Regions from separate parts of the Mus musculus genome. Here regions 2 and 3 are each reported to be linked to region 1. The links are microRNA targets in miRTarBase. Many come from high-throughput screens and were not tested one by one. Region 1 holds a microRNA gene; each other region holds the end of a gene's coding sequence.
The links. The annotated mature microRNA mmu-miR-326-3p reads CCUCUGGGCCCUUCCUCCAGU and lies in region 1 at 6,620-6,640, shown strand. An mRNA with a match to its seed (bases 2 to 7 or 8) in the 3' UTR can be bound and repressed. Matches are read on the target gene's strand: a 7mer-m8 pairs with bases 2 to 8, a 7mer-A1 pairs with bases 2 to 7 and ends in A, and an 8mer does both.

Region 1 (10,215 bases):
TGAATGCCTGGGGAAGGGACTTTGACTTTTGTCTGCCTGTCCCTTCCCGTGCCTTCTCCCAGCCAGTGCCATGCACACTGCTGCTTGGTGGCTTAGTGGGCTTGCCCAGGGCCGAAGGAGAAGGACCAGTCATGACAGGAAAGGGAGAAAGATTACCCAGGGCCAGCGTTGTAGTGCTGGGGTGGGGCACCTCCTTTTTGGCCCCTGTCTGCCAAAGCAAATTCTCTGAAAGGAAGTGGGGAAAGACTGCCGAGCTGGAAGCTGGGAGCATCCCAGCCCCAACCCCAGTCCTAGCTCCTTTAACCCTCACCCCCTGTTCAGGGCCCACAGCCTGGTTTGCTGCCAGGGAAGCTGGCGGGCCACTTTTTCACACACTTGGAAAACAACAGCCCTTCCTGGTTCCCAGTGTTCAGCAGGAGGGGCTGGAGAGATGTCCTCAGGTCGGGAGTCGGGGTGGGGGGACTGGCAGCACATGGCAGGAGGCTGCCTCAGCTTCCCCAGCCGCTTGCCAGCCTCAGAGTTGGGCTCTGACTTGGAGGCCAAGGCCTAGGAAGTTGGTTATATAAGTCAGCAAGACTCCCTGCTCACTTCCTCCTTCTCTCTGCAGTGAGGCCCTGCAAGCAGGAGGCAGGTGCCACTTTGCTCAGAATCTCTAGGCCCAGCAGGTTATGGTGACCATCCTGTGCTGGGACAGAGTGGTGTGTAAGAGTGGTCTCCTTGTCCACACCCTGCGGGACAGGCTTATGGGCAGCCTCCGTGCAGGCCACTGGGTTGGCAGCGAGCATTGGCTCCTCCCACACTCTGAGAGCTGCAAAACTTCATTAGAGGAAACAGGCGGCAGACCTGAGATCATTTGCCTACAAACTGCCCCCAGAGGGGAGCTGGCCTCTGCAGCCAGAAGAACAAATCGCCAGCATTTTTCAGTTTGTTCCACAAACAGTTCTCCAGTGCTGGCTAGGTGCCAGACCTCTACTACAGGCATGTCCCTGGAGTGGCCCAATCTACCACAGTGGACATTTAGGGAGCAGTTTGGTTTCATGTGCCACCTAAGGGTGGACCCTTTCTCCGTAGCTGGAGTATTGGCTTTCTTGGAATTCTTATGAACGAAGAGCAGCCTCTTTTAGGTTGGGATTTTCAGAAACGGCTTATTCCCTTTCTCCTGGTCTGTGTCACCCTTCACTCCTCCACCCGAGCGAGCAGAAGTTTCTCTGTCTTACCAGCCCCTGGGGTCTGAGATAGGAAGTGGGGACAGCTTCTTGTAGCACTTGTATGTCTGGGGGAGAAAGAAAGTAAGTGGCTGGAACATTCCTTTTGGTGGTTTTTATTATTATTATTATTATTATTATTATTATTATTATTATTATTAAAGACAGGATTTTTCTGTGTAGATCCGGCTATCCTGGAATTCTGTAGGCCAGGCTGGCCTTTAACTCAGAGATCCACCTGCCTCTGCCCCCCCCCCGAGGGCTGGGATCGAAGGTGTGTGTCAAGCTACTGCCACCACCACCCAGCTGTCTGTAACGTTCTTTTTATTTTATTTTTTTAAAAGATTTATTTATTTTATATATGTGAGTACACTATAGCTGTCTTCAGACACGCCAGTAGAGGGCATCAGATCCCATTACCGATGGTTGTGAGCCACCATGTGGTTGCTGGGAATTGAACTCAGGACCTTTGGAAGAGCAGTCAGTGCTCTTAACCACTGAGCCATCTCTCTAGCTCCAACTGTAACATCCTGTTTGTTTGTTTTTGGTTTTGTATTTTGAGACAGGATTTCTCTGTGTAGCCCTGACTGTCCTGGAACTCACTCTGTAGACCAGGCTGGCCTCAAACTCAGAAATCTTCCTGCCTCTAACTTCCAAATGCTGGTATTAAAGGTGTGCACTACCACTGCCCGGCTGGCTGTAACATTCTTAAGAGAGTGGCAAGGGCGTTTCAGTTTACAGCTGGACAGCAATCCAGGATTAAGACTCAGAAGCCACTAACAGAACAGGGGACCCTCGTGCACGCTGTGGGAGATACATCTGATAGGACTCAGAGATGCAGTGGGAGCTCTGTGGGACAGGCATTCAGCAGGGACTGGAACCCTGCCCCCCATGGTGGCTCGAGTTTCATAGCTTTCAGTAAGGAGTTTCTTAGGAATGCAGACTACTTCAGACACACACACACACACACACACACACACACACACACACACACACGGTGGGGAGAGAGAGAGAGAGAGAGAGAGAGAGAGAGAGAGAGAGAGAGAGAGAGAGAGAGAGAGAGAGAGACCTGGGTTGAAGCTAGCTATAGTAGTGCAGGCCTATAATCTAAGCACATGGTAGAAGGATGAGGTCACCCTGCTCTGCACTGTCAGCTCCAGGCCAACCAGGGTGGCATTGTGGGTCCCTCCCCCACCTTTTTTAGTTAACAAAACAAAAACAAATAGGTCAAGAAATCAAGGGGGAAACTGTCACAAACAAGCAAGCAAGCTGCACATATCTAAAGCTACTGGGCAAATGGCACCGGAAGCAAGATTACTGGGGGCAGCAGGGGTTCAAGCTTCCCTCCAGCAGAGCAGATCTTGCAGAAGCCCACTGGAGCAGAGTGCAAGGCGGGGGTGTGGGGGGGTGTTGTTAGTTTTAGGAGACACAGCCTCTGCTTGGGCCTGTGGCCCGGAAAGAGCATGTGTGCTGGTCTGTGTGGTTTAGAGTGCCGTCTTTAGGGACACTGAGGCCAAGCGGTGTGGGAGAAAGGGCAGCAGGCTGGGTTTGCACCCCACCATACCTGTCTCTGTCTGTGGGTGAGATGCTAAATTGTGGGGAAGTGGTACCCCTTCTTTCTCACTGTAGTGACTGTGCTAATGAGTGCACCCAGAACTAACAGGGCTCATCTGGTGGGTAAGATTTTTGTCATGAGTCTGTGTGGCCCCAGGGCTGTGGGAGAAAACTGAAGGCATTTAAAAAAAGACTTAGTAAGGAGAATTTTGATTTTTTTCTTTTTTGGCAAGTTTTTTTTTTCAATATCCTAAAAAGGACAAAGCTGATGACACGTTATAATCAAGCAGTTAATATGCACACTGCTCTTTCTAGCATGCAGCAGCGAGGTGCCTTTTCTGCAGCCATTCAGCAGCTATGATTGAAATCACCCTTTTGCAGAATGAACCCTGTTGCCGGGAATTTTCAGAGGACTATGGTGAGCCCTGTCCTGGCCACAGGCGGTCCTGGGTTTCTCCAGCCACAGCTTCTTTATGAATGAGATGGTATCTGGGACAGAGGTTACCTGAATCCACACTCGCTGTAGAGAAACCCATTCCCTGTCCTGGGCAGGCTCAGCTCAGACATCCGGTCTGAACGGTGAGGTGGGCATGTCTTCTAAGGCTGCTCCTTGCAACCAGCTCTGGCCTGGGCCAACCCACTGGTCTTCTGCCTGGTCTGTGGCTCAGTATATGGCCTGGAACCAACCCTTTTGTTTGGAAACACACCAGACCAAGGCCTTCCCAGCTTAAAAGCTCACCAGTTGTTCCCTACAGGAGCATCTCTGGTTTTCAGGTGGTACCAAGAACCCTGCAGTTCCTGTCCCTAACTTCCTGCCTGCTGTCCCCACACTGTGGACACTGGCTTGACCTCAATGGCCATTGACTTTCCATACCTGGGTGTCTGTCAGATCAGGCTTTGGGCCTGAAGAGCCCTACCCCCTAATTGATAGGAGCTTCTTTATATGTTGTTTTCAAGATGTGATTCACTATATATAAGCCACTTTGGCCTTGTACTCAAGGTGGTCCTCCTGCCTCAGCCTTCTGAGTACTAGTACTGTGTGCTCTTATACTTGTCTCCTTCCTTGCAACCTTCCATCTCCTCCACCCAGCACACGCTGAGACAGGATCTCCTGTACCCCAGGCTGGCCTCAGATACACTATGCATTTGAAGAAGCCCTTAAACTTGTGATTCTCCTGTCTCCACGTCCTGAATATTGGGATTGCAAGCGTGTGCTATCGGATGGATTTATGTGTTTCTGGGACAGAATTGGTGTGAAGCAAGCCTCCTGCCAGCCACACTGCATCCCTGGCCTGCCTCCCTTCCTTGGACATCTTTTCCAGGTGTGGAGCTGCTCTGTTGGAGGCTGTCCTTTGGGCCGGAGTTAGGGAGGGAGGCCAGAGAGGGCTCAGAGGAAGTGGGCCTGGGCTGCTGACCCAAAGGAGAAGTACCCTTTCCTTCGTCTCATTTCCTTCCTGGCCCTGGTACTGAAAGAAAGCAGGCAGAAGCAGTAGAAAAGAGGAAATACTTTGAACTGGGGACTAAGATCTCCCAGCTTGGAGATGATTTTAAAAGTCCCAGTTCTCAAGCCCCTCTCTCCGTCCTCTCCTTTTCCTGTACACAGGACACCTTCTGCCCACACAGGCTATGCAGACAGAGGCTACAAAGCTGACCTGGCCTCGTCCTGTCTTTACAGCTCTATCGCATGCACGCTGGAACTCACCATCTTCTTATCTGTCTCATTGGGTTTGAGTTCAAGTCTTGGCAAGAGCTCTTGCAGCTCTGTAACTCTGGGCAAGTCACGGCACCTTTCTGAGCCTTGGTTTCTTCTGCATACCATAGAAAGGATAATACCTACCTCATAGGGTGGTGCCGCTCTGTGGGCGAAGGGCTGAGCAGGTATCTTTGATAGCACCTGTGTGGCGAGTGGAAGCTACTTTCAGGTCAGAAACTTCTTGAGAGAGTTGACCAACACCTGGGCTAAGGCCAGGGCACACAGTGCCACGCCAGCTTCTTGAGACTGCCTCATTTTTGCACTTTAGGGGATCCTTTTTCCCAGCTCAGTGCTGGGTACATTAGTAACCAAGTTACTGTCTTACTTACTGTTCTATTGCTGTGAAGAGACACCATGAGCAAGGCAACTTATAAAAGGAAGCATTTAACTAGGAGCTTGCTAACAGCCTCAGGGGGAGAGTTCATGACCATCATGGCAGGAAGCATGGTGGCAGGCAGGCATGGCCCCAGAGCAGTAGCTGAGAGCTTACATCTGATCTTCAGGCAGGAGAGAGAGAGAGAGAGAGAGAGAGAGAGAGAGAGAGAGATTGGGCCTTGCTTTTGAAACCTCAAAACCCACCCCTAGTGACACACCTCCGAGGCCACACCTCCTCCAAGGCCACACCTCCTCCAAGGCCACACCTCCTAATCCTTCCTCAAACAGTCTGCCAACTGGGAACCAAACGTTCCAACATACAAGCCTATGGGGACCACTCTCGTTCACACCACCATGGTTTCTTTCTGTGTACTTTCCGTAAGGAATTGTGGATGAGCTGTATCAGTGAAGTCATCAAGAGTGCCGGACAGAGTGGGAACAGGACAACTGAAAGCAAAGCCTGGTTTGTGATGTGGGACTGGAAGTGATAAAAGCACGTGGGAGGCCCAGGAGGTGGACAGTGAGGACGAGGTTGGGCAGTGGGAAGTGAGGTGTGCTCAGCGGGAGTGCACAGACACAAGGCCCTGAGTGTGCAAGGCTTTTGCTCTGAAGCGCTTCCAGGGTCTAGTGCTTTCTTGGATGTCTGGCGAGAAGGCAGGGCAGTGGCTGTTTCCTGCTGTGCAGGAGGATCTGTCATGATTTCCCGAAGCTGCTGTTCTGACCAGCTGCTCAAGTCCTTTCACTCTGTGGCCACTGTCCTCTGAGTGTCTGCGACCGCTTCTTCCCTCCGGGGTGAGTGGAGACTAGGCTAGGGTGGCAGAGGAGGTGGGAGAGGAGGCCCACGCTCAGGTCCATTTTCAGAAATGAAGGGGGTCAATTTCTCACCTGCTCCACATGATCACAGTCCTTCTCTGAAAGTGTCTGAGGCATGGCTCTTGTAAGAAAGTCCTTGGTGTGTCTAGTGCATAGTTGGTTTGCTCTTACTGTCTCCTTTTGCAAAATGAGGACTGTTTTAGGATTTCCATTGCTGTGGAAAGACACTGTGACCAAGGCAAGTCTTATAAAGAACAGCATGTAGTTGGGGAAAGCTTACAGGTTGGGCAGTTCAGTTTATTATTACCAAGGCAGGAAGCATGGCAGCATCTAGGCAGGCATGGCACTGGAGAAGCTGAGAGTTCTACATCTTGATTGGACAGCATCCAGGAGAAGACTGACTCTCTCTTCACTGGGCGGAGCTTGAGCTTAGGAGCCTCAAAGCCCACCCCTACAATGACATACTTCCTCCAACAAGGCCACACCTCCTTCAATAAGGCCACACCTCCTAATAGTGCCATGTCCCATGGGTCAAGCATATTCAAACCGCCACAGAGATGAAATGACTTACTCCGCATAGCCACTGAGACTATGGTATGTGCTGGCTGGCAGGTGGGGTTCTTAGCTACTCTGGGTTGCACGTGCCGCTGGGGGTAGGGGTGGGGGTGCAGATCCTGCCAGCCCGCTGGAAGGATCTTCTCTAGGATATGCATCAGGATCACCAAGACCTCCACTGGTGTGGCCTTTGTGAGCAGCAGGCCCCGAACTCAGCTGAGCTTGGCTACTTCAGAAGCTGTGACAAGACACACAGACCTGGACCATGGCGGGTACGGTTCTGCACCAGGAGAACTCTTCCGAGCCTCATCTGTCTGTTGGGCTGGGGGCAGGGCCTTTGTGAAGGCGGGTTATGCTCAGATCGCCTCTGGGCCCTTCCTCCAGTCCCGAGGCAGATTTACTTCGAGGCAAAACTGCACACCAGCTCCAGGCTCCTCTCAGGACCTCATCTTTTGTGTCCCAGGGCTCAGAGCCTTCCTGAATCTGTATAAGAAAGATCATTTGTGTTGTTCATTTATTAGGTTGTTTTTTTTTGTTTTTTGTTTTTTAAAGCAGACATCTGGGATGGGGGTGTAACCCATGTATATGGCCCTGGGCTAGATGCCCAGCACCTATAAACAGTGTGTAGTGGTGCATGCCTGTAATTTCAGCACTTGGGAGGTAAATGCAGTACACGCTAGGAGGGTGACCGGCATTATCAACTGTGGGGCACAGCTGGACTGGAAAGGGACGATCAGAGCCCACATGGGGCTCTCCGTGGGGAAGGGCTAGAGGAAGCCTGGCCTGGCCTCCACTCCAGTCGCTGGTTGAGGAGTCTGATTGCTTTAGGGCTTGCAGCCACTTCCAGAGCAGCTCAGCTGAACTTGACAGCTCAGTGAGGAAGCCAGCTATGTTCTCTTCTGCAGTCCCAGTGGGGGCTGCCCGTCCTTCCCCAACGTCAGTACCCAATTTATGGAAGAAAATTGGGGAGAGCAGGTTGTGGGTTACGAGAAAAATCAGGGACCTGGTTATTAGGCTAGGTTTCAAATCCCATGTCTAGCTGGGATGGTGGTCCACACGTGTAATCCTAGCACCAGGGGGACGGACGGAGCAGGAGATCAGTTCAAGGCCAGCTTTGACTATGTGAGACCTTGTCTCAAAAAAAAAAAAAAAAAAAAAAAAGAAAAGAAAATTGAATTTCACCTCTTCTGCTTGTCAGGTCAGCAAATGTTAAATAGTTACATAATTTTCCTGAACTTTTGTTTTTATCTTAAAAGTGGGTTAATACTGTATCCTTCCTGCCATGGGATTGTGGTAAGCCTCAAAAGAGATACTGTAAGACTAAACCCAGGACCTGGCACACAGTAGGTATTCAGATTGTGCCCAGCACATTCCCATAGCCCTTATTACCTTGTATGCTGCCTGCACCACACCCACCCGCCTGTGCCCTGTGTCAATGTGTGCTTGCTCCCCGAGCTTTCTTTGTTTGTCTTGTGACCTTTCTCAGCCTCTACACAGCACCTATGAGGCACTTCAGAAAGGGCCAGTAAGAAGAAAAGAACATTCTTTTAGGTAAAAACTGTGCACCTACTGTGTGTCCCCGCCGGGGAGCTTCTGTGTGGTTTTTGCCCTGCAGAGCCCCAGTGGTTGTGACTGTTGCTAGGCTCCTGGAGGCCAGCAACTTTGTACTGTGCAGAGCCCTGTAATCATATTGCTGTTAGAGACACGCTGACATCTGCCATCTCCCTGCTGTGGAATGCCAGCGCCCTGGGATCTGTGTCTCCAGGTTCCAGTGCCTGGCAGCAGAGGTATGCAGCGTAAATTCCATGCTGAGAACATAGCCGAGGCTTGCTTTTCTCTCTCTCATTAAGTCAAGCCTACTTCCTCGGTCTACCCAGCCATTTTCTAGGTGGGGCAAGTCTTTCCTCAGGTTCAGATTGGGTAGACAGATAAATCAAGTGTTCTGCTGGGTCTTGGAGGAGGTAATGCTGGAAGTCAGCTGTGTTTTCAGCGGGTCTTCCATCTGACCCGTGCTCTGTCTGCCTGGGGTGGAGAAGTGACAGCCCAGACGTTCTGTTTCTAGCAGACCCTCATTGCTGGCCTCACAATGGGTTTGGAGCTCTGTGCAAAACTGTTTATGTTTCCACAGCAGAATTTATTGCCCAGCCTGGCCTTCTGCAATTAATTATAAGCCAAACAAATAACTTGTCTCTAGGAGGCTGGGGATCGGCATAAACATTTATGCCAGTCCAGAGGCTGGGTACTTTCCTCTGGCCTTGGGAACAGAGGGGCAGGATGGGGTGGGTCCACTTCCTCCTGACCCCAGGAGGTCTTGTATGTGTGTTCTCGCTCTCAGTCTTCCAAAGTATCCCAGAATAGGGTTCCCACTTGTAAAGGGAGACTCAGGCAGAGAGTTAAGCAGTTTGTCCAAGACCACACAGCTTGCAGGGAGGGCTGTCCATCTGTCCATCCACCCATTCAAATATTTATTTACTAAGCTCTCATCAAATGGGAAGTTGTTTTCTAAGCTGACTGAATTTGTAGGCACAAGGTGGTAGCCTCGGGGCCCAGGCACGTGGCTCAGTTGGTGGTGTGCTTTCCTGGCATTCATGAAGTCCTGGGTTCAAGTCTAGTGCTACATAAACTGGTCAGGTTGGCCACCTACCTGAAGCAAGAGGATCAGAAGTTAGAGGGAATGGCGGGCGTGTTGGCACATTCCTTGAATCCAGCACTCAGGAGCCAGAGGCAGGTGGATCTCTGAGTTTGAGGCAAACCTGGCCTAAAAAGCCAGTTCTAGCTACACAGATAGTGATGACGATGATGATAATGATCATTATCACATTATTATTATTACTTCTTTTACTGTTTGAGATTATGATGTAATTACAGTATTCCCCTGTCTCCCTTTCCTCTCTCCACACCTCCTCATTCAACTCTCCTTGCTCTGCTTCAAATTCATGGATACTTTTTCATTAGTTGCTGTTATGTCTATACATATATATATGTTCCTAACTGTGACCTGCTCAGTGTGGTACTGTCTGTATCTTTTTAGGTATGACCATCTGTATTGGATAACCAATTGGTGTGCTCATCCTTGGGGAAGATGGCATCTCCCACTCTCATCCTCCTTAGTTACCTGTGTGTGCAGGGCTGGGCTCTGATGGGATTCCAGGCTCTGCAGCATGGTCGTTGTTGTTCTTATTTGCTTCATGTCTAGTTAGTGAGACCTTATCTTTAAAAAGATGTTCTAGAGGCTGGTTCAGTGACTCTAGAGCACTGACTACTCTTTCAGAGGTCCTGAGTTCAATTCCCAGCAACCATATAGTGGCTCACAAACATCTGTAATAGGATCCGATGCCCTCTTCTAGTATGCCTGAAGACAGCTACAATGTACTCATATTAAATAAATAAATAAATAGATAAATAAATAGATAAATGTTTGAGAGAGAGAGAGAGAGAGAGAGAGAGAGAGAGAGAGAGAGAAAGATGTTCTAGGGTTCAGCCTCAATTACAGAGGTAGGGAGTTTGAAGACCCTATCCAAAAACAGAGGAAGAAGGAGATGGTCTGTGAGGGCCATCTTGTTTGCCTTATACTGGTGGCCTCATGGTAATGGTGATTTTTACAGGCAGGGGTGTGTGTGCACATGTGTGTGTGTGTGTGTGGGGGGGGGTGAGGACTGAACCTAGGGACCTGTGTATACCGGGCAAGTGCCCTAACATTGAACTACAACCTTAGCTCCAGTTTTATACTGTTCAATGCCTCTTTGTTTTCACTGTGACCCTTTGCCGGAGGTCAGGTATGCAGTTTTCCCCTTGAGGCCTGTTGATGCTCACAGAGTTTCAGATTTGGGAGTGTTTAGGCCTTTCAAATTAGAGAGCATCAACCTACTTCCTGCTGTTGGGCTAGGTGGCTCAGAGGAGGTGCAATTTGGCATGGTCCGAGGCTAGATGGCAGGAAGAGGCAGCGGGGATTGAAACCAA
Region 2 (10,215 bases), not on the chromosome of region 1:
AGGGACAGGAAAGGGAGGCCTCCTGACTAAAGTACCTGCCCACCGCCATCTAGTTGCTGTCAGCTTTACGTCATGGCTGCAGGCCAGAAACCCCTTACCCAAGCCTCAGTGCCCACCATGGGTCCCTGTGGTTGGCATGGGGAGTCTTAGGGACCCACAAGACAGGACTCCCTGCCCAGCCCCTTTGCTGTTCTCGGTTGGGAGTGACCTTCAGCTGCCTCTGCAGGCCTGTGCTCCCTGACACAATGGCGCTTTAGCCGCCACCCTGGTGCTTGAGGGCATCCCTGCTCTGCCGAGAGTTGCTAGTTGGTCCACCCCCACCCCGCTTCCTGCTAGGCCCCAGTGGGAAAGATCCGATAACTTTTATCCATATCCCTTAAACCTGGTTAGCCAGGCTGCTAGAAGCAAGCCAGGTTAGTTTGCACAGAGGGGTGTTGTGTCTTAGAGGCTCTGCAGGAGCACTTTACTGGTGGCATGGTGGCTGTTCCCTGTACTTCCCTCAGGCAGGACCTCCCCTATAGATGCACCCACCCTAGAAGAAACAGCCCACCCAGGACAAGCTGCTGCTGCGGGCTGTTGTCCATTCTCCTAACCATGGCACTCAGATTAGGCTGGGGTGAACACTCTCTGTGATCGTCTCTGAGCCTTGATTTCTAGCACTATACATTGGAGTGAGTTTTGTAAGACACAGAGCTCCCTGTAGGCATAGCTCCAGCAGACCTAGGAGAAGTGGGAAGAGGGGCCCTCAGATATGGGGTGGAACTTCCACTGCCATCAGGGTGACCCCTATTAGCACGAGCACTGCCCTTCAGGGGCAGCCTGGGTGTCTGGGGATGGGTGGGGGCGTCACTGGGCCTGGGGCGAGCAGGCCCTTTTCACTCAGCTGTCTCTTATCTTCTCTATCCCTCCGGCTTTTCTCCCTGCCCCTTTCCTCTGCATTTGCCCTGGGTTTGGCCTCGGGTAGTGCTGACGTACGGCCCATACGGTAGGTCTGCTCTCTGCTCTGTCTGCACGTCTGTCCTGCACGTCAGTCTGCTCCCGTCACTGGCATGCCTTTTTGTAGCCCCGCGTGTACCCACTCCTCCAAGCTGGCACTCCTAGGTGAGAGCCCCGAGCACCTGACTGAGAGAGCTGCCTTTGCAGAGCTTGGCTGCCTTCGTTCCATTCTCTGGTTTTGAAGTACACTCTGCTCGGTTCTGGAACACAGTGCCCCTAAAGTAACAGGAGGGGCATTTAGTAGTGTTTCTGAGAGAGTATGAGTCCCATTCACGGCCTGGGCCCAGTGTTGAGCTCATCGCTCCAGCTGGGCTTGGTGGCCTACACTGTGTCCCCAGTCCTACCCTGATGCTGTGGGGCACAGGTGGATGAGTTAGAAGCAAGTCAAGGTAGCGAGTTCCTGCCCTCTGGGAGGGACAGCCAACAGGCCAGCCTGCTACTGTACCTGAGACCTGGTTCAGCAGCCATCCCAGGCTAGGGGTCACAGCCTAGCACTAGAGCTTGGTGGGCCAAGTGACTGCCTGCAGCTTTCCCGTCCTGCCCTGTCTTCTCCTCCCTGAGTGCTATGTTCTGCCCCTTTGTCCTAGCTTCCTTCACAGCTCCCCAGGTCTCTCCTGGTCAGCAGCAGCCTTGGTGTCCTGTCCCTTTCATGTCCCAGGAGCACTGGGGTGGGGTCTGTCCCAGGAGTAGGGGCAGGGACTGACCAAGTCTTCCTCCTCCCACTCCGGCCTCATGTGCCCCCCCCTCCGCCCTCCCCTCAGGCCGCTGCGCCCCCATGAAGAGCATCTCCAGCAGCCTCAAAGAGACCATGAACCCACACGATATTGTGCAGGACGCCATCCACAACTTCTCGCCAGCCTACCAGCAGTACACGCAGCAGTCCACTCTGGAGCCCGGGCCCACCTGGCGTGGCGGCACGCACAGCCTTTCCCGCTCCCACAGCCTTAGTGGTGCACGCGACAATGAGAAGACTCTGCTGCTCAGCTCTGATGATGAGTTCTAAGTGTGGGCCCTGGAGGGGAAGGAGAGGTGCTTCCCCCAGCCCCCAGCCAGGCTGGGGAGCAGAGCAACCAGCACAGCATGGCTGCTGCCCTTTTATTTATTGGACCAGAAACTCGCATATCACTTCCAGAGGAACAGGCCTCAGGAATATTTCTCCCTGGCCAGCCCTGCACTAGCTGGGGCAGGGGCAGAGGACAGCGGCTGTAGCTGTCACATCTCTGCGACTCATCCTGTACCGTGTGTTGGCCAGAAGCTGCATCCTAAGCCCCCTCCCCAACAAGATATCTGCCGAGCTGTCAGGCCCAGCCCACCCTACACCGTGCAATACCCAGACCCAGCCTGGTCTTTCCCCAGGCCTTTGCCCGCTTCTCCCTGGTCACCCTTGTCCAGTGTGAGTTTTGTCACATTCTGGGCAGGTAGAGACGTGAATGCTCTGTGGACCCTCCCCCTCTCCCAACCTAGGCCTGTCTGGCATGCTGCAAGGACCAGAGCCAGCCCCCAGGAGCCTCAGGGCCCACTTAGGAAGGATGCCTTGTGCCTATGGGCCCTTTGGTGACATGTGGGGCTCTGGATCCTTGGGTGTCCTCACTGTGGCCACTCTGCCTGCTGAGGACAGCCAGAAGCCCACACTGCCCTCTCACTTGGGTCCAGTTCTTGATAGTTGGGGGCAGAGCCCCCACACTCCCTTATACTTCCTGACTGTGCCAGGGCTTGGGTTCCCCACCACCTCCTCAATGGAGCAAAGACTCCTGCTAGGCCCTGGTCTCCCTGGGGTTTATCCCTCCTGGGTCATGGGAAAAGTCAGTCTCCACATTACAGATCACTTCCAGAGGGAGGCTGGAGGGATGGTCATACAGCGGGGCCAAGGTAGGGGTGGTCTCAGACCCTCCTGGGTCCCCTGACCATACAGGGCCTGGTGGTCTGCTCCATCTGGCCCCTGGCCCATCTCTTCTGTGCCTTAGTCACATATGAAAGCCCCTCCCCAGTTCCCGTCTGCTCCAGGCACTCCTCGTTGAGCTGCTGGCACTCAGGGTTCCGCAGCGCTGGGTTGGGCATCCTTGGGACCACCCACCCTCTCCCTGGCTCCCTCTACACGCACATCCCAGAGCTGCCTCCCAGGGCTGGGATCTCAGAGGTAGGGTGGCAGGGGCCTGGTAAGCAGAATTCAAGCAGCACTTGGTCTTGGCTCCAGTAGCCTCTTGAGGTGGAGAGTGGTGGGGAGCCCTACCTTGTAGCCTTCAGTGGATGCTCTCCCCTTGGTCACCTCTGGAACAAACAGGTTCCTTCCCTGGGGTCCATAGGGAGGGACCTCATGGGGCTGTCACATCCTAGCAACCTTCTTAGCCTCCTTCCTTCCTTCCACACGGCCCAGAGGCCAGCTCGGCCCCACCCAGAGGGCCTGGCCAGCTGCTCCCAAGCCACCCAGGGAGGCAGCAGACAGGTGGGAGCTCCTGGGGCACGGCCGTGGGATTGCTTCCACCAGTGTGTTTCTGAGACTTCTCCTTATCTTCCAGGCCAAAGTATGTTGCTGCTTCCTGTCTCCACTGGTCCCCACCTACCCTGGCACTTGCCCTGTGACATGATGGGTGAGGCTGTGGGGGAACTCAGTGGCAGGAAGCTAGTGGTCCCTGGGAACAGGGGACAGGAATCCGTACCCAACTGCCCCGTTCTTTCTTCCCATTCTTTCTTCCTAGGATGCATAAACTATCTTGTCTCATTTATTTTTTAATTTTTTTTCAGATAGAGTAGCTCTTTGTACATAAAAAAAATACTTGAAAATTGTATGATGTATGAGAAGACAGAGCCCCCTAGTTTTGTATTTTGTCCTGTGACTGCCATGCGTTCCACCAGAAAGCCGCTCTATTTTGGTCTCTGTGATATTTTAAATGCGTGACAGAAGCAAGCAAATAAAGTCAGGAAGAAATATATATATGAGATAATATAGATTGTATTGAAATCTCTTCTGCCTGCCAGCGAGGTTTTTTTTTTCTTTTCCCCTCTTGTCTGGGAGAAGTGTAGTGGCCGTGGGCAGAGACGTCCACCCTCTCTCTTCCTGTGTGTGAAGTGGATGTAGGTCATGGGGGCGTTTACACCGTCTGGGTCTAAAATCAGGTCCCACATCCCTATTTGACAGTTTCTTCTCTCTTCCCAGACAGCCTAACACGGGGAATTTCCTCTCCCCATCCCTGAGAGGGCTGGGCCTCAGTCCTTGTTTTTTTCCAGAGGCAGGTGGTCACCTCTTCTGTAAGGCATCTCCCAGAAGACTTGCACACCTGCCTCATCTTCCCTGAGCCAACCCTCCATCCTTAGGGACCAGGAGCCTAGGGCAGGAGCTCCTGGTCATGGGTACCTTCCCTGCATGCACCATGCCTTTCCAAGAGCCTGGCCTATGGGTGACAGGCATGACTGGAATGCACGTGGGGGAGGGAACTTCCTAAGCAGCCTATAACCCGAAGGTAAACGGCCTACCTACATTGTCTGTGCACACCCCCACCCCCACCCAATACCCCTTCCAGCTGCCAGGCCTCTCAGGAAGAAGTCTTGGCACAGCCCCAATCTGAGGGGGAGAAAGTTCTGTGGGTCCAGCCAAGCCACGTGATCGGGCTCTCCCCTCTGCCCCTTTCTTTGGCCTCTTCCCTCACTCCCGGACTTGCCACATACAAGATTCCTCTAGCATCTCTTGTGCTTTTAGGTTTTGCAGCCCTTCTGGCTTTTCTAGACTAGTCCTCTATAGCACCGTTATAGTAAAGTGACCCCTCCGGGGGTCGGCCAATCCTTTCATAGGGGTTGTATATCAGATATTTACATTGTGATTCATAACAGCAGCAAGGTGACAGTTATGAACTAGCAACAGATTATGGTTAGGGGTCACTACAACATGAACTGTATTAAAAGATCCCACCATTAGGAAGGTTGAGAACCAGTGTTTCAAAGTAAACTGGAGCTATAAGAAACCAGGCAGTACCACCCAGAAAAACCCTACTGCCCTGGCTGAAGACCAGAGGAGTCCACCCCTCACCAGGATGGCAGAGTCAGTGAGTATGCATACAAACCCATCCCCTGACTGAGACTGAAGCCTAGCTCCCAGAACTCAGTAGTTCTCTCTCCCTGGCTCAAAAACACTGGGATGTAGTTCCCACAGGGCTGTAGAAAATCAGACTTGGGGCTGGAGAGATGGCTCAGTGGTTAAGAGCACCAACTGCTCTTCCAAAGGTCCTGAGTTCAAATCCCAGCAACCACATGGTGCCTCACAACCATCTGTTATGAGATCTGACGCCCTCTTCTGGTGTGTCTGAAGACAGCTACAGTGTACTTACATAAAATAATAAATCTTTTTTAAAAAAAATCAGACTTATGTGAAAGTAGAAGGAAGACAGTTTTCAAAGCTTAGGACCTGTCTCTCCCTGGCTCTGTACAGTCTGAGCTCATTTCTTGCCTATCTCCATCCACACCTGCTTGTGAGAGCTAGCAATGGGATATAGCCTCCCCTCACCCATAAGTCCCTTCCCACCCATCCGAGGCCACTCATTTAGAGCACACACAAAATAGTCCAAGACATACACTTCTCTTGTGGAAAAAGAGAACTTGACTTTATTCAGAAAGTCTACAAAATACTCAAGGCAGATAACTGGCTCACTTGAAGTCAGAAAATAAATAAACTCTGGGAGCTGCGCAAATTTTTTTTTTTTTTTAAAAAAAAAACCTATTGTTGCCACCCAGCTCTCCCTAAATATAAGATTAAATGTGATTTATTTGTAGATATAAAATATAAGTCCAGCTCAGGGCCCACGTATTTCCCAGGGAAGAGGAGCTGGACTCTGGCTGGTGAGAATAACTTAGATTCGTGCAATAAATAAGAGTGTGGAAGAGTCAGCTGTATACAGTGTTGGGAAGGTGCTAGGGCTGGACTTCCCAGGGGGACAGTGATCAGCACCCTCAGACCACCACAGATACTCTGGACCAAAGTGGAAGCCGTAACTCCAGGTCACCCCACACCCACCCCATTCTCCTGCATCAGGACTGTAGTGTTTGCCTCTCTCTACCAGTGGTCGTCTCCATCCATCTTTCTCTGGCTGGCCAGCTCCTCACCTCAACCCTTTGTGTCACCTTCTCTCTCCTTCAGCTTCTTTCCCCACCACACAGCTGTCTCCCAGGCCCGGGAGGCTCTCCTACCATGTTATTCAGTCCCGGGGTACTGTTCCCCCTGTGAAAGCCACGCTTGGAATGTTCATTAAGGCAGCTGTAAGAAGGCCCCACTTGGGTTTGCAGCTCAACAATTCCGTGCTCAGTGGCCTTAGGTCGTTTTGCCTGACAGCTTCCCCATGTGTCAACTGAGCTCCATTGATCCGTTCCAAAGACTCTTAGCTTGGGAAAGCCTGGCATTCCCAAGTCTCAAGCACAGTTGGGAGGTCTGCTTCCCAGCAGGACAGTCTCACAAGGCCACACCTAGTCCTGGGTCCTGGGAGGGTCGGAAGGGCATGCTGGCACAATCCAAAGCCTCTTCCACCAGCTCTCCTTCTGGCCACACGACCTCATTTTCAATTTGAGCCGGACTTTCAGCCCAGGGAAACTTAGAACCCTAACGCCTCCCCCCACCCCCAACTTAGCAAAGTTGCCCCTCCCCAGGGCCATCAGGTCCCAGTTTGGGGGCCTGCAAGAGTCAGAGCCCAGGAAAGGAATGTGAAGTCACTACAACGAGTGGCAGAGGAAAGGAATGGGAAGCAGAAGGAACTCAGGCACTTGAAGAAGGGAGTGGCCTCCGAGGGGTGTGGTGGGGTGGGGGCGGGTACTAGGAGCAGGGGGCGGGGTCAGCAGCAGGGGCTGGGCCCGGCGCCGACTTGACGATGGTGATGACGCTGGCGGGCGCCACCAGTGCGGCGGGCCCGCGGGCGGCGGCCACGGAGCGCGCGAAGCCCTGCAGCGCTTCACACTTGCCGCGCAGCGCGTCGAGCTCCAGGCGCATGGCGGCGTTCTCGCGCGCCAGCTTGTCCACCTCGCGCTCCAGCTCGGACTTCTGCTTCTGCAGCTCCTCCTTCTGGCACACGCGCTTCACGCGGCAGCTGGCCGCGTAGCCGCGGTTCTTGAGTGTGCGGCGCCGCTGCTTCAGCCGCGTCACCTCCTCCGCCGACAGCCCGCGCAGGTTGCGGTTCAGCTCGCGCACCGACAGCCCCATCAGCGCTTCATCCGACAGGTGCGGCGTGTTCTCGCTCAACTCGCGCTTGACCTGAGGGCCATGGGGAAACAGAGGCACGGGGCCCGTGCTTGAGGATGCCGCCCCACTTCCCATGGCGCCCCCCTTCTCATTGCGCCCCCACTCTCCCCGTTTCGGCGGTTACTGGACTTGAGCCAAGACCTTGAAAGTTAGCAGGACCAGCATCAGCCTACAGGAGGTCACCCAAGGCTCAAACTAACCACGCGTCAAGTCCTGGACCCAGCTGAGAAACCCAGCCTGGAAAGCCCCTTGCAATGGGGGAAGCGCGCTCAACAGGAAGTAACCTGCCTCTGCTGCTGAGTCGCCTTTGGGGCTTCCAGGAAGGAAAGGGGAATTGGGATGTCGGTGCTCTACCAGGAGCAGCAGCAGAGAGAGACTACAAGGAGCTAGCAGCCTCACCTTCAGGGCTTTGCTAGATAAGGGATCCACAGCCATTTTCGCAGAAGATGACCTCTGGGCTGGAGACCTGGGAGAGAAAGAAGTTCAGGGTCACCTTGGTTGGTGTGTTCATGTTTTACTTACATGAGTAAAATCCAATCTCCGGACCTGGCATTCAAGGCTTCTATCTCAGAATTGATAGCAACCTCCGCTGACCCCAACGATCCAGCCTTCGCTCTTGCTCTCCCTGTATTGCCCCAGTTCCCCATAATGGCTCATTATCTAGGTCTTTGCCCAGTGCCACCTTTTCAGAGGTGTCCTAATGGATGGTCTGTCCCTCCCCATCCCCTTCTCCACCGAAGTTCCCGTTTCACTGCAGCCTCTCCACACCAAGGTCAGTCAGTGCCTGTATACACTAGGTACTCAACAAATGTGAACTCTCCTTCCACTCTCCTTTCCCACATGGGGCCAGGGTATGCATGCAACTTTTGGGTTTGTTTCAACTTCTTTTTACATTTATGTGTGCGTTAGTCAGGCACACCAGCGCTGTGACAGTTGTGTGGCGCTCAGAGGATAATATGCAGGAGTCAGTTTCCACCTGTGGGTTCTAAGGAATCCATCTCAGACCCTTGGGCTTGGCTGCAAGCCCCTTTTACCCACAGAGCCATCTCACCTGCCTTCTTTGTCTTAAAGACATGGTCTTACCATGTAATCCAGGCTGAACTTAAACTCACTATCCTCCTGCCTCTGGGAGTCCCAGACTCCCTGGGTCTGCCCATCACTGCTCAGCATGGTCCTAGAGCGTGGCTTGCAACCTTTCTAAAGCTGCCACCTGTTAACAGTTCCTCATAGTGTGGTGACTCCCAACCATACAATTATTTTCATTGCTACTTCCTAACTGTAATTTTGTTACTGTTAATGAATTGTAGTATAAATATTTGATATGCAGGATACCTGATAGGTGACCCCTGTGAAAGGGTCATCCAACCGCCAAAGGGGACAAGACCCATAGGCTAAGAACACCTGCTCTAGAGGGAACAGCAGCTATCCCCTAGCCTAAAGCCAGCCCATTGGTCCTAGAGCCTTCCCCATGAGCCTCGGAGCCTCACATTCCTTTAGTGGCCATTTTCTGAATAGCTGTAGTTTGCCATGGACAGGGACTGGGGAGACAAGTGGATAGAAACTCATGGAGGGAAGCTGGTGTGGTGCACACCTGTATCCCGCACCCTGGAGGTAGAGGGCCAAGAAGGACTTAAAGGCTACTGTTGGCCTCATAGCAACTTCGAGGCCAGCCTGGGTTATCTCTCCAATCATTTTCCTTTTTTTTCTGCACTAGAGATAGAACACACAATGCACAGACATGTATGCAGACAAAATACTCATACAAATAAATATTCAAAGGGCTGGAGAGATGGCTCAGAGGTTAAGAGCACTGACTGCTGTTCCGAAGGTCCTGAGTTCAAATCCCAGCAACCACATGGTAGCTCACAACCATCTGTAATATGATCTGATGCCCTCTTCTGGTGTGTCTGAAGATAGCTACAGCGTACTTACATATAATAATAAATAAATCTTTGGGCTAGAGCGAGTGGGGCCAGAGCGAGCGGGGGTCAACCACATGATGGCTCACAACCATCTTTACAGTACAGTGTACTCCTATACATAAATAAGTACATTTAAAAGAGCAAGTGGGAAACCCTGAGTTTGGATCCCCCAAAACCTATATAAATACAGGGTATGTGTGGTGTCCACTTGTAATTCCAGACAGGGGTAAAAAATAGATTCCCGGGCTGGGGAGATAGCTCAGCGGTTAAGAGCACTGACTGCTCTTCCAGAGATCCTGAGTTCAATTCCCAGCAACCACATGGTGGCTCAAAACCATCTGTAATGGGATCTGACGCCTTCTTCTGGTATCTGAAGACAGCTACAGGGTACTCGTCATATATATAAAAAATAAATTAATTAATTAAAAAAATAGATTCCCCAGACCAAGCTAACCCATATAAGACCACAAGCAGTCATGGACTGCAAGAGCCAACCTCTGGCCTCCATACACACTTGCACCCTGTGTGCTGACACACACTGAGTCTTTACCACATGCATGCAGCACCATGTGTCTGTCTGCCCTGTGAGGATGTCCCCTCTTCAACTGCAGGAACCTTGCTGAGTCCTCTATGGTTTCCCCAGGGCTGAGAAGAGTGTCTGTCTAGAGAAGATGCTCATGTGACAACTGTGGGACTCTCAGTGTGACTCAGGCCAAGGTGGGGACCGTCTGGGGCTTCTGAGGAAGAACTCCTACCAGGTCAGGGGTCTAGCAGCTCAGTCAGCAGGAAGGAGCTGGGCAGGAAAGGGAAGTTGGCCATTCAAGACAGTTTTGACCGAAACGGCTACTGTGGCCCCAGGGCTAGCAGGGTTTTTTGGGGCCCGCTGGAGAGTTGAGGCTCAAAGCAGTGATCCCAACACTCAGAAGGGTCAAAGGTTCCAATCATCATAGAGATCGTGAATTCAAAGCCAGCCTGGGCTCCATGAGACCATCTTTACATCTCAAACAATCAAAACAAGTCAAAGACTAAACAAGAGCCACCAGGCCAGCATGACCTCCCACATACCCTGTAATCCCAGGGTTG
Region 3 (10,215 bases), not on the chromosome of region 1:
AGCTTTGAGTTCATTAATTCTTCCTGAGTCAGAGAGAAAAGAAAAGAAAGAAAGTCAGGCACACACAGACACATGCATACAGATGAGGTAGAAAAAGGTTACACCACACTTTATTGTTGTTCTTACTTTTTATACTTTCTCTGAAAATTACATACAGAACTATCAGGTAGAACCATTGCAACAGGATAATTGATGACCTGGTTTTCTAAGCACTTTACATTCCATGAGTTCATAGTAAGTTTAAGGCAATAGTTCACATCATAGATTGATAAGGCTTAATGAGTTACAGCAGAGTTGTTTACATGTCTTTTCAACAAGACTTCTCCCTGACTAAACATTCATAATCTGTTCCTAGTTCCATGAGTTCATTATAAGTTTAAAGCAATAATTTTTATGTCACAAGTTAGCACAGTTTTGTCAGGAGACAAATCATCTGCCTTGTATCTTATTCTTTTGAAGTCTTGTATAGATAAACTAGCCCATCATTTATTTCCTGTCCTTGCTCCTACAATAAATTGTCCATTCTCAGTTTATGACCTTTAGTTACTAGACAGTGGCCCCATCCCTAACCTAGAAGGAATGTTTTCCTTTACCATAAATTTGTTCCAATCCTGTTTTCTTGTCCTAGTGCAGTTAGCCCATGACACATGAAGGTTTACAGAGCTACTTGCAGCTTTTATTCTGTCTTTAGGGGACTTGAGATTGCTTGTGTCGATTTAGGAATTCTATAAAATCATTATCAGGAATTATGAAATCAGTTCATCTACACAGCATTTCCATATGCAAATACATCTTCATGTTGATCTGCAGGAAACTTGCCCAATAGGGTGGGCTGAATCCCAGGCATCATTAGACTGTGTTACAGTGACAGCAAAGGCTTATCAGCAGCAAGGAGCAGGCCTGGGATGATGCAGTCTCTGCTGACCTTGCATCCTAGAGCTCACCCACCGCAGCCATGCAAAATGGTGGGCCATCTCCAGGGAACTCACATGTTTGCCATTCCCTTTCCTAGACAGCTTCTCTCTCTCTCTCTCTCTTACACACACACACACACACACACTGAGAGAGAGAGAAATAGAGAAATCAGGTAAGCAAGCTATGGCTGAGAGAGGAAAATGTTTGAAAATCCCCAAGGAGAATAGAGCAAAAGGTTTTGCATGGGACCAATTGAATCTTGAACTGATTTCTATGGTGGCATCAGTCTTTGCTTTGGCATCTGTGGCAGGTGGCGTGTGACATGCTAAGTGGCCCTCAGCAGTTGTACTGCAGGGCTGAGGACATGGGAGAGTAGAAGACTAGCAGGATAGGGCTCTGTCTCATCGATCAGCCAGCAAAGCAGTGGGAATGAGGGGAACTGGAGACTATTACAGCTGAGCAGGGCATAAGCGGGGGATGGGACTGCCGATGGGAAAGGGGCTGCAGAGCCAGTGGTAGATCATCAGCTACAAGAGAGTATCCGACTGCCACTAAGAGAGAAGACGGGGTGTGGCGCAGCATAGGCGAGGTATAGGTCTCAGGAAGAACTCAGGGAATTAAGAGGCTGGGGTATGGATAGTCTCTCATCATAGGTGGAGAGGAAGGAAGGAGTATTGGCTGTCTGCATGGCACGGCTCTCCTTACAGGGACAGGGTAGAGAAGATTGGCTGATGGAGCTAATGAAAGCTATTGGGTCTGAGTCTCTCCCCTTCCCATCTTCTCTAGATTGATGTGCACCTCCACGACGCCCTTGGTCGGCCCCATCAGTGTGGAACAATCCAGCTTGACTTCCAGCTGCCACTGAGATTTGACCTACAATACAAGGGGTATAGACCCTGGCTCAGCCCCCCACCCCTGCCTTTGACTGCTCCTCACACTGAGCCAACCCTCCACACCCTACCCCATCAGAGAGTGTTCTTGGTAACGGGAAGTGATTGGGCTCAGGTCATGAGACTTTCACCGTTCACCCACTCCCCTTCTTCCAAGGCCGGCAGGTACCCCAGAGTGTCCAGTCCTTATTCATCGAGCAGTGCTTGGTTCTGTGGAAAGGCTGTTGGGAGTGCTGGCAGAAAGCTGTGGGGGGAAATGGTGAGTCACTGGCCACCAGAGTTCTGCTCTTCTCTCCAGCCAGAAAGTTCGTGCCTTAGGTTCTGACCTTATCCTATGTATTTCCTTTTCAGATCTCCCTACAGCTACACCTAAGCCTAATGGCTAAAGCCAAAGTGAATAACTTCCTGCCCCTTTTTCCTGCCAACAGGCCCCTGTGGCTGTCCCCGCTCCAGGTGGTGGTCATCCCTGTGAGGACAGAGCAAGAGGAATATGCCAGGCAGGTGAGTTGAGAGAAGATCAGGAACAGCAGGGCATCTGCCATGCATCCCTGGTGAGACAGGCTCTGCAGGAGAGTGGGAAGGGCTTGAGGGCAGCTTTCCCGTGTGCTAAACATTCTCCATCTAAAAATTGAGTTCAGCCTTGGCTTTATAGTAAGACCCTTTTTAAATAGTTAGGGGTGAGCCTAGAGCTGTAGGTCAGTTGGTAGCATATTTACCTAGTGTGCAGAAGGCAGTGCGCTCAGTCTGCAGCACCACAGGAGCCTGCAGTCCTAGCACTTGGCAGGAGGAGCATCAGGAAAGGTCATGCTGTGCACAGGTCCACAGCCTGAGCCGCATGAGGTTCTTTATGGAGAAACTATGGACGGACGAGAGTTGAACAGCTGGTTGGGAGATGGGTGCCTAACAACCGACAGAGCCCAAAGAATAATTGAGGCTTCATTTTCTGTGAGAAGCACACAAAGGTTTTAGGTCAGGGATGGGAAGGAGGCCTCAGTATCTCAGAGAAGAGGCAGTTAGCCAGCTCCTGAGAGCATTGGAGGAAGTGGGGATGTGAGACAAGTATCCGAGGAAGAATAGTAACCAACCATCATAGCTCAGCTTCCATTCAGATTTACTCATCACCAAATCTGTATCCCAGGTGCAACAGTGCCTGCAGGCTGCAGGACTTGTGAGTGATCTCGATGCAGACTCTGGACTGACCCTCAGCCGGAGAGTCCGCCGGGCCCAGCTTGCCCACTACAACTTTCAGTTTGGTAAGAGGGTTAGTCGTAGACCTCAGAGCCCCAAGCTCTGCATTCTCTGTACTAACTCTATTGTTTAGCTCTGTGTACATTGAATTAATTGGGACTCATTACCTGGGCTGGGTAGGAGCCTGACTAATCTGCCTGCCTTCCATTGCTCCTTCCCACAACCTATTCCATCCCTCAGAACAGTTGTCTTCTCATTAACCCTACCCTAGGCTGTTTCTGTAAGTTAATTAACCAGGCCAGCATCAAAGAGGAAGGGACAGGAGAGGATTAAGAAGGCATCAGTTGAAGCCAGGCATGGTAGGCACACCTGTAATCCCAGGATTTGGCAGGTACAGGAGGGAGGGCAAACATGTGAGGCCACTGTGGGCTGTATGTAGCAAGATTATCAGTGAACCAGAAGCTGTAGTGCTCTGTGGTGGAGCACTGGCCTCCAATGAGTTAGGTCCCAGCACCAAAACCAATAAAGGCATTAATTAATTGCCTTGTTTATTGTTGTGTGGGTGGAGGCAGCTCTAGGGGACAAGAAAGGTCTTAGGGAAGGAAGTTGCTCCTGACTCTTGGGCCTCTGGAAGCAAGAAGCAGAAACTCCTAGCCAGACCGCCTGACTGGGGCATCACGCATGCCCGTTGCCTTGGCAGCACTGAGAGCAAGCCCCGCCCTGCTGTTTCCCCTTCCTGTACCGTACCCCTCCCCCCAGGTCACACACATACAGTTTTTCTTTTTGTGTAGCTCTCCATGTTTGTCTCTGTCTAACTGACTCTGTATCTCCCAGCCCTGGGCTCCTGACCTGCAGGGAGAGGGGAGTAAAGCCCGGCCCACTTCCTTATCTCATCAGAGTGGACAGTCAGCAGCAGGGCAGGCGAGCTAAGCATGGGCTTCAGCCACGGCTAGGCTCTGCTCCTACCTTTCCTAAAGATTCAGGAGTTTGAAGTTTCTGCAAAGCAAAAGGAAACAACCCATAGGGTGACTTTTGCTTGGGTTTGCAAATCTTTCCTCTTCCTGCAGTGGTTGGCCAGAGAGAGCAGAGTCAAAGGACAGTGAACGTACGCACGCGAGATAACCGGCAGCTCGGGGAGCGAGACCTGGCCGAGTCCGTGCAGAGACTGCTGGAGTTACAGAACGCCAGGGTCCCCAATGCAGAAGAAGTGTTCTGAGTCATGTCCATTGGTGATGTACAGACTCATGAGAGCCGTCCGTCCCTTTCCACGGGACAGTAACCCAGCTGGCAGCCCCGCATGTCCCCGAGGCCTCAGAACTGCTCTCTGAAAATAGACATGGTGTGGGGGCTCCCCACAGAAAGGAATGCTGTACTGACTGGATAGAAGGAGAATAAAAATATACTTGAAGCCAAGGCTGTGCCTTCATCTGAGTCCGAATGCTTTACTCCCTCTTTCCCAGACCTGAGGCAAAGGGATACTGAGGCCTCTGACCAGCAAGGGCACTGCCTCAGGCAGCCATTCTCCTCCCACTCCCACTCAGGAGAGTGTCAGATCCATTCTTTATAAAGGACAGTATGCAGATGGGAAACTGAGGCACAAATTAAGGGTCCAGATGACAACTTGCTCCATGATCCTCTGCATCAGTTTGGAGGGGATCCAGGAGTGCTCCCTTCCATCACCTCCATTCTTCCCAGGCTAAGGAGGCTCCAGGAGTCTGGGAGGAGTGGCTGTAAGAGGAGGAGCAGCAGGGACTGAGTCATGGCAGGAAACAGGGGGGCGGGAGATAGCATATAAAGAGAGACAGACAGCAGGCCTTGAAGTTCACAACGGCAGTAGCAACAGCCAGGGGAGCAGGCTTGCAGCAAGTGGCCCAACCCCTTCAAGTCTAGATCTGCCTGTGACAACCAGCTTCTGGGTGACCAGTGACCAGTTCTTGCCCCAGGATGGGGACCGTATCCAGAGCAGCCTTGATCTTGGCCTGCTTGGCTCTTGCTTCTGCTGCCTCTGAGGGAGGTGAGTCGGGGTGGGGTCAGCAGTTGCTTAAGAGTCTGGCTCCAAAGAGCTCAGCAGTTGGGTGATTGGCTTCCTTTATATGAACATGTCACTGTGAAGTGGGGCTGAACCTTTAACCATGGAGGCTGGAACAGGAGCAGAATAGCTAGAGGTAGTTGCTAAGAAACACAAAAATTAGAGTCAAATAGACACAAGACAGGTGAGTTTACAGGGTGAGGATCCTCCTGTCAGAACACGTGAGGAGGGACGAGGAGGCAGGTGAGGAGGAAAAGAAGCCCTCGGGCTGCTAAAACTCAGCCTACCGAGCCAGGGAGCCTAGACTGGCTCACTCTGGTCAGAGGACGAGTTAGAGTTCACCCACATTCACCCCCTATTACACACACGCACTGCTTTGAAGTCTGAACAAAAGGAAATACCAACTCTGGACAGGACAGAGACTTAGATCCTTCTATAGATAGCCGTGTCTGAGACAGCTCCACCTCGCTGCTGTCCTGGTTCCTAGGTTTGTGCCTTCGGTTCAGCTCCAGATGTGAAGGTGCTTTGCCAGCCTGGTGACCTGTATTCCGTCCCAGTAACCCACATGGAAGGGGAGAAATGACTCCCACAAGTTGTCCTCTGACCTATACACATCACCACGGTGACACACTGGCCCCCTCCACACATACACAAATAATATTTTTCTTGTTTAAGAAACCTAAAATAAGCTGAGATTGAAGGGGAAGGCACTTAAACATTTGGCTAACCGTCCCACCCAAAGGCCAAAAGTATTTTTAAAGGCCTATAGGAAGAAGTTTGAAGAGAGGTGGATCCTGGAACATCAGCGCATTGGAGGGGACGGCAGCCACAAGCCCCATCCAAGGGAGATACTGACAGGAAATCAGACCTCCATTCCCAGCCACATTCTTTTAGACCCCAACTCAGAACCCAGCCACTCAGAGGGGAGGTGTGTGACAGGTGGCTCCCCCACAGCGGGCTTTCCACAGTCTCGGCCTCCACAGCCTCCCCATCCTCTGTCCAGGACCAGGAAAGGACGCCTCAAAACTGCCTGACTTTTGTCTTTCCTTCCTCTAGCCTTCAAGGCTTCAGACCAGCGAGAGATGACGCCAGAGCGCCTCTTCCAGCACCTCCATGAAGGTGAGAGCCTCAGAACTAACCAGATCGGATGAAGACGGGTGCTCAGGACAGCATGGCTGTAGAATTTGTGGGGAACAAGCATGCAATTGGGAGGCTCTGAGTGTCTCCCCTCTTGCCTCTAGTAGGTTATGCAGCACCCCCTTCCCCACCACAAACCCGGAGACTCCGAGTTGACCACTCTGTAACTTCTCTGCATGACCCTCCCCTCTTTGAGGAACAAAGAGAAGGTGAGGCTGCCCCAAAGCCCTCTCAGTTCCCGTTGAGACCTCTAATCTAGTGTACTTCCTGCTCCTCAGGAAGGGAGGGACCCCCCCACCCCACTGTCTGCCTCACAACTGCCTGTTCTGTAGTGCAGCCCCCTTCCTCTCCAGAAGACATCCCTGTGTACGAGGAAGACTGGCCCACTTTCCTAAACCCTAATGTAGATAAAGGTGAGTGCTTCCCTGCCCCCCAACCCCCGCCCACCCCACTGTGATGCTGACACTAGCCTGACCTCCCTCCCTTGTGCCCTCCCCCATCTTGCAGCTGGTCCTGCTGTCCCTCAAGAAGCCATCCCCCTGCAGAAAGAGCAGCCCCCTCCCCAAGTCCATATTGAACAGAAGGAAAGTGAGTGACTGCCTCTTTCCTGCACAGCTTTCCTGCGGAGCCCATGGGCTTGGGGAGGAGGGGCACATGGGACTTACTCTCCTGAGCTGCTCAGTCTCTATCTGTACAGTCGGTGGAATGCTTGTCTGACACAGTCCAGGCTGGCTTTCTCCCGCACTCCATCAACTGGATGTAGTGGCACTGACATGAACATCAGACCTTCAAAGGTTGTTCTTAGGCTGGGCAGTGACTTTAATTCCAGCACTCAGGAGGCAGAGGCAGGCAGAGCTCTGAGGGGTATATAGCCTGCTTGGTATATAGAGCAAGTTCCCAGACAGCCAGGGTCAGCGTTACTGAGTTCAAGGCCAGCCTGGGACATATGAGTACATGAGGCCCAGTTTTAAAGAAGGAAGAGAAGAGAAGAACGGTTGGAAACAATGCCTGTCCAACAGCTCTGTCAATGGTGTAAAATAGCAGTCGTGTTTTTTTCTGGCCTCTCTATTGTGTTCCATCGTGCATGGGAACTAGCAGGAGCCTGTGTTTTAGAGGAGCCCATCCCAACAAGCCTTTTGCTTACCCACCTCCCTCTACCCCAGTAGACCCGCCTGCCCAGCCTCAGGAGGAGATTGTCCAGAAAGAGGGTGAGTGACCACACTGGTCTGTCTGTTCCCACGGTTAGCCCCTGAGCCCCAGGAAGGAGCTAATGCTGGCCTGAGGGTCGCAGTTACCTTTTCCTTTCAGTGACCCTGAACTGAAGAAGCCCACATACTATCCCAGCCCTTTCTCTTCAACCCCAGGTCTCCCAATGCTCTATGCTCAGCCAGCCTGCATGCATTCCTCCCCACTGTTTTCTCTGTTCCAGTGAAGCCACACACCTTGGCGGGCCAGCTCCCTCCAGAGCCCCGGACTTGGAATCCAGCCCGTCACTGCCAGCAGGGACGGAGAGGTGTCTGGGGCCACCGGCTGGATGGCTTCCCTCCTGGACGGCCTTCTCCAGACAATCTGAAGCAGATCTGCCTTCCTGAGCGTCAGCATGTGATCTACGGCCCCTGGAACCTGCCGCAGACTGGCTACTCTCACCTTAGTCGCCAGGGAGAGACCCTCAATGTGCTGGAGACCGGATACTCCCGCTGCTGTCGCTGCCGCAGCGACACAAACCGCCTAGACTGTTTGAAGCTTGTGGTAAGGGTTTGGCTGCTGCTGCTGCTGGATGTGTGCGTGCATGCGTGTGTATGCGTGTGTGTGTGTGTGTGTGTGTGTGTGTGTGTGTCTGCGTGCACACGCATGAGTGCTCCACACTTCACCCGGGGTACAGATGGAGCACAGGTCGGCTGTACTGCTATTTGCCTGCCTAGAGTCCTTTCCTGGAGCCTGGGAGGAGGCAGAAATATGAACAATGAGGTACTGGGTTGACCCACCCCTCTCACTCTAGTGGGAGGATGCAATGACCCAATTTTGTGAGGCCGAATTCTCTGTCAAGACCCGCCCCCACCTGTGCTGCAGACTGCGTGGGGAGGAGCGATTCTCTTGCTTCCAGAAGGAAGCTCCTCGCCCAGACTACCTGCTCCGACCCTGCCCCGTCCACCAGAATGGCATGTCCTCAGGGCCCCAGTTGCCTTTCCCCCCGGGGTTGCCCACACCGGACAATGTCAAAAACATCTGTCTCCTGAGACGCTTCCGCGCCGTGCCACGCAACCTCCCAGCTACTGACGCCATCCAGAGGCAGCTGCAGGCTCTGACTCGGCTGGAGACGGAGTTCCAGCGCTGCTGCCGCCAGGGCCACAACCACACTTGCACATGGAAGGCCGTAAGTGGGCATCCCGGCCACCTTGGGAGCCTGTCTGCCCACCCAGCTCCAACCGCTGACTCTACAGCCATTCATCCACTTTCGTCTGCTTGTGACTGTCCGTCCCTCCGTCAATCCATCCGTCCGTTGTGTCTGTCATCCAAGTCTGTTCACCTTGAGTTTTCGTGCTTCCATCCTGACTTCATCCACCCGTGACCCCACATATGCATCTGTCTGCCGTCCATCCGTCCAGCTATGGCTTCACCCGACCCTCTGTACCTACTGGTCCAGCTCATCTCCAGTGGCCAATTAGGAGCCTCATCTGTGTTCCTCCCTTTTGACCTCCCTCTAGCTCCTGGGGCCTCATCTCATAGCTGAAAGGCTAAGGTGTGGTAAGGAGGAGGAGCCAAGCAGCAGGCTTCTTTCTCACTTCTGTCTCTCTCCACAGTGGGAGGGTACCCTGGATGGATACTGCGAGCGGGAGCTGGCTATAAAGACCCACCCCCACTCGTGCTGCCACTACCCTCCTAGTCCTGCCCGTGATGAGTGCTTCGCCCACCTAGCTCCCTATCCCAACTATGACCGGGATATCTTGACCCTTGACCTCAGCCGAGTCACCCCCAACCTCATGGGCCAGCTCTGTGGAAGTGGAAGGGTCCTTAGCAAGCAGTGAGTCCTGATACTCTTGCCTATCCACAACCTCCTCCTCCCCGGGGGTTCCCTTGGGGAGGTCAAAATCATGACTTCCCAGTTCCATTTGAGCTGTTGGGGTGAGGAGATGTTTATTTATTGTGAAAGTTTCACTCCGTGGTCAAGGCTGTTTTGAACTGGACCAATCTTCTTTCCCCTGTACTCCAAGTAATGAGATTACAGGCATAAGCCACCGACCCCAGCAGGCTTTGGGTGCTGTGGAAGGGACAGAGACCCTGAGCTCTTCCTCTTTCATACCAACCACAGTAAACAGATTCCGGGGCTGATCCAGAATATGACCATCCGCTGCTGCGAGCTTCCATATCCAGAACAGGCCTGCTGCGGCGAAGAGGAGGTGAGTGTGTGTGACCTGTGATTCCAAGGCTCCAGGGAATCAGAAGGCTAGATGTAGAGGTTACCCCTCTTTTTAGTACCTCAAGCCTGTTCGCAGAAGTCAGGTTGAGTGGAATAGATCATTTCTCGGAGTTCTAGAAGGCTTCTTCCTTCCCGAGAACCTCTTGTCCCTGCCCTGGGCCTCAAGCTTCTAGCATTTCCAGATGTACACATCTGTCAGGGACAAGCAGGCAGTCCTGCTGTGGAAAGGAAGCTGGCAGCCTCTGGGCCTCCAGAGGGATCCCAGTGGGCAGCCATGCCGACCTTCTGCCCTCCCCATGCCCCAGCATGCCCCCTTTACATTGCTTTCTCAGAAACTGGCCTTCATCGAGAACCTCTGTGGTCCCCGGAGGAATTCGTGGAAAGACCCTGCCCTCTGCTGTGACCTGTCTCCTGAAGATAAGCAAATCAACTGCTTCAATACCAACTACCTGAGGAACGTGGCTTTAGTGGCTGGAGACACTGGGAATGCCACTGGCTTGGGGGAGCAGGGCCCAACTCGGGGAACAGATGCCAACCCCGCCCCTGGGTCCAAGGAAGAATGAGTCACCCTGAGCCTCAGAGGATTAGATGGGGGAACTCCGCCTACTCCACCCTCCTCGAACACTCATTACAATAAA

Region 2: miRTarBase lists Maff as a target of mmu-miR-326-3p. Seed matches in the 3' UTR shown: 7mer-A1 at 6,065-6,071 and 7mer-m8 at 5,658-5,664.
Region 3: the mRNA of Tars2 is a reported target of mmu-miR-326-3p. The part of its 3' UTR that is shown has no 7-base or 8-base seed match.

What each region holds. Positions count from the first base shown.
Region 1 is chr7:99,545,709-99,555,923 of GRCm38, forward strand. It overlaps Mir326 (microRNA 326), which reads left to right and starts at 6,561; the gene lies at 6,561-6,655. All of the region lies in intron 1 of Arrb1 (arrestin, beta 1), which reads left to right.
Region 2 is chr15:79,354,428-79,364,642 of GRCm38, reverse strand. Maff (v-maf musculoaponeurotic fibrosarcoma oncogene family, protein F (avian)) reads right to left here. Exons shown (of 3, transcript NM_010755.4): 2 at 7,610-7,676; 3 at 5,567-7,222. The coding sequence starts at 7,645. The coding sequence ends at 6,788. Tmem184b (transmembrane protein 184b) reads left to right here. Exons shown (of 9, transcript NM_172608.1): 9 at 1,758-3,959. The coding sequence ends at 1,999. Among named protein-coding and RNA genes, the nearest start is that of Maff, 12 kb to the right of the region's middle.
Region 3 is chr3:95,734,165-95,744,379 of GRCm38, reverse strand. It overlaps Tars2 (threonyl-tRNA synthetase 2, mitochondrial (putative)), which reads left to right. Exons shown (of 18, transcript NM_027931.3): 14 at 1,702-1,802; 15 at 1,963-2,064; 16 at 2,234-2,306; 17 at 2,944-3,058; 18 at 4,061-4,406. The coding sequence ends at 4,209. Ecm1 (extracellular matrix protein 1) reads left to right here and starts at 4,811. Exons shown (of 11, transcript NM_007899.3): 1 at 4,811-5,007; 2 at 6,079-6,141; 3 at 6,264-6,368; 4 at 6,492-6,572; 5 at 6,667-6,747; 6 at 7,323-7,367; 7 at 7,589-7,908; 8 at 8,159-8,533; 9 at 8,961-9,181; 10 at 9,470-9,557; 11 at 9,910-10,215. The coding sequence starts at 4,938. The coding sequence ends at 10,140. It overlaps Mir7014 (microRNA 7014), which reads left to right and starts at 9,407; the gene lies at 9,407-9,469.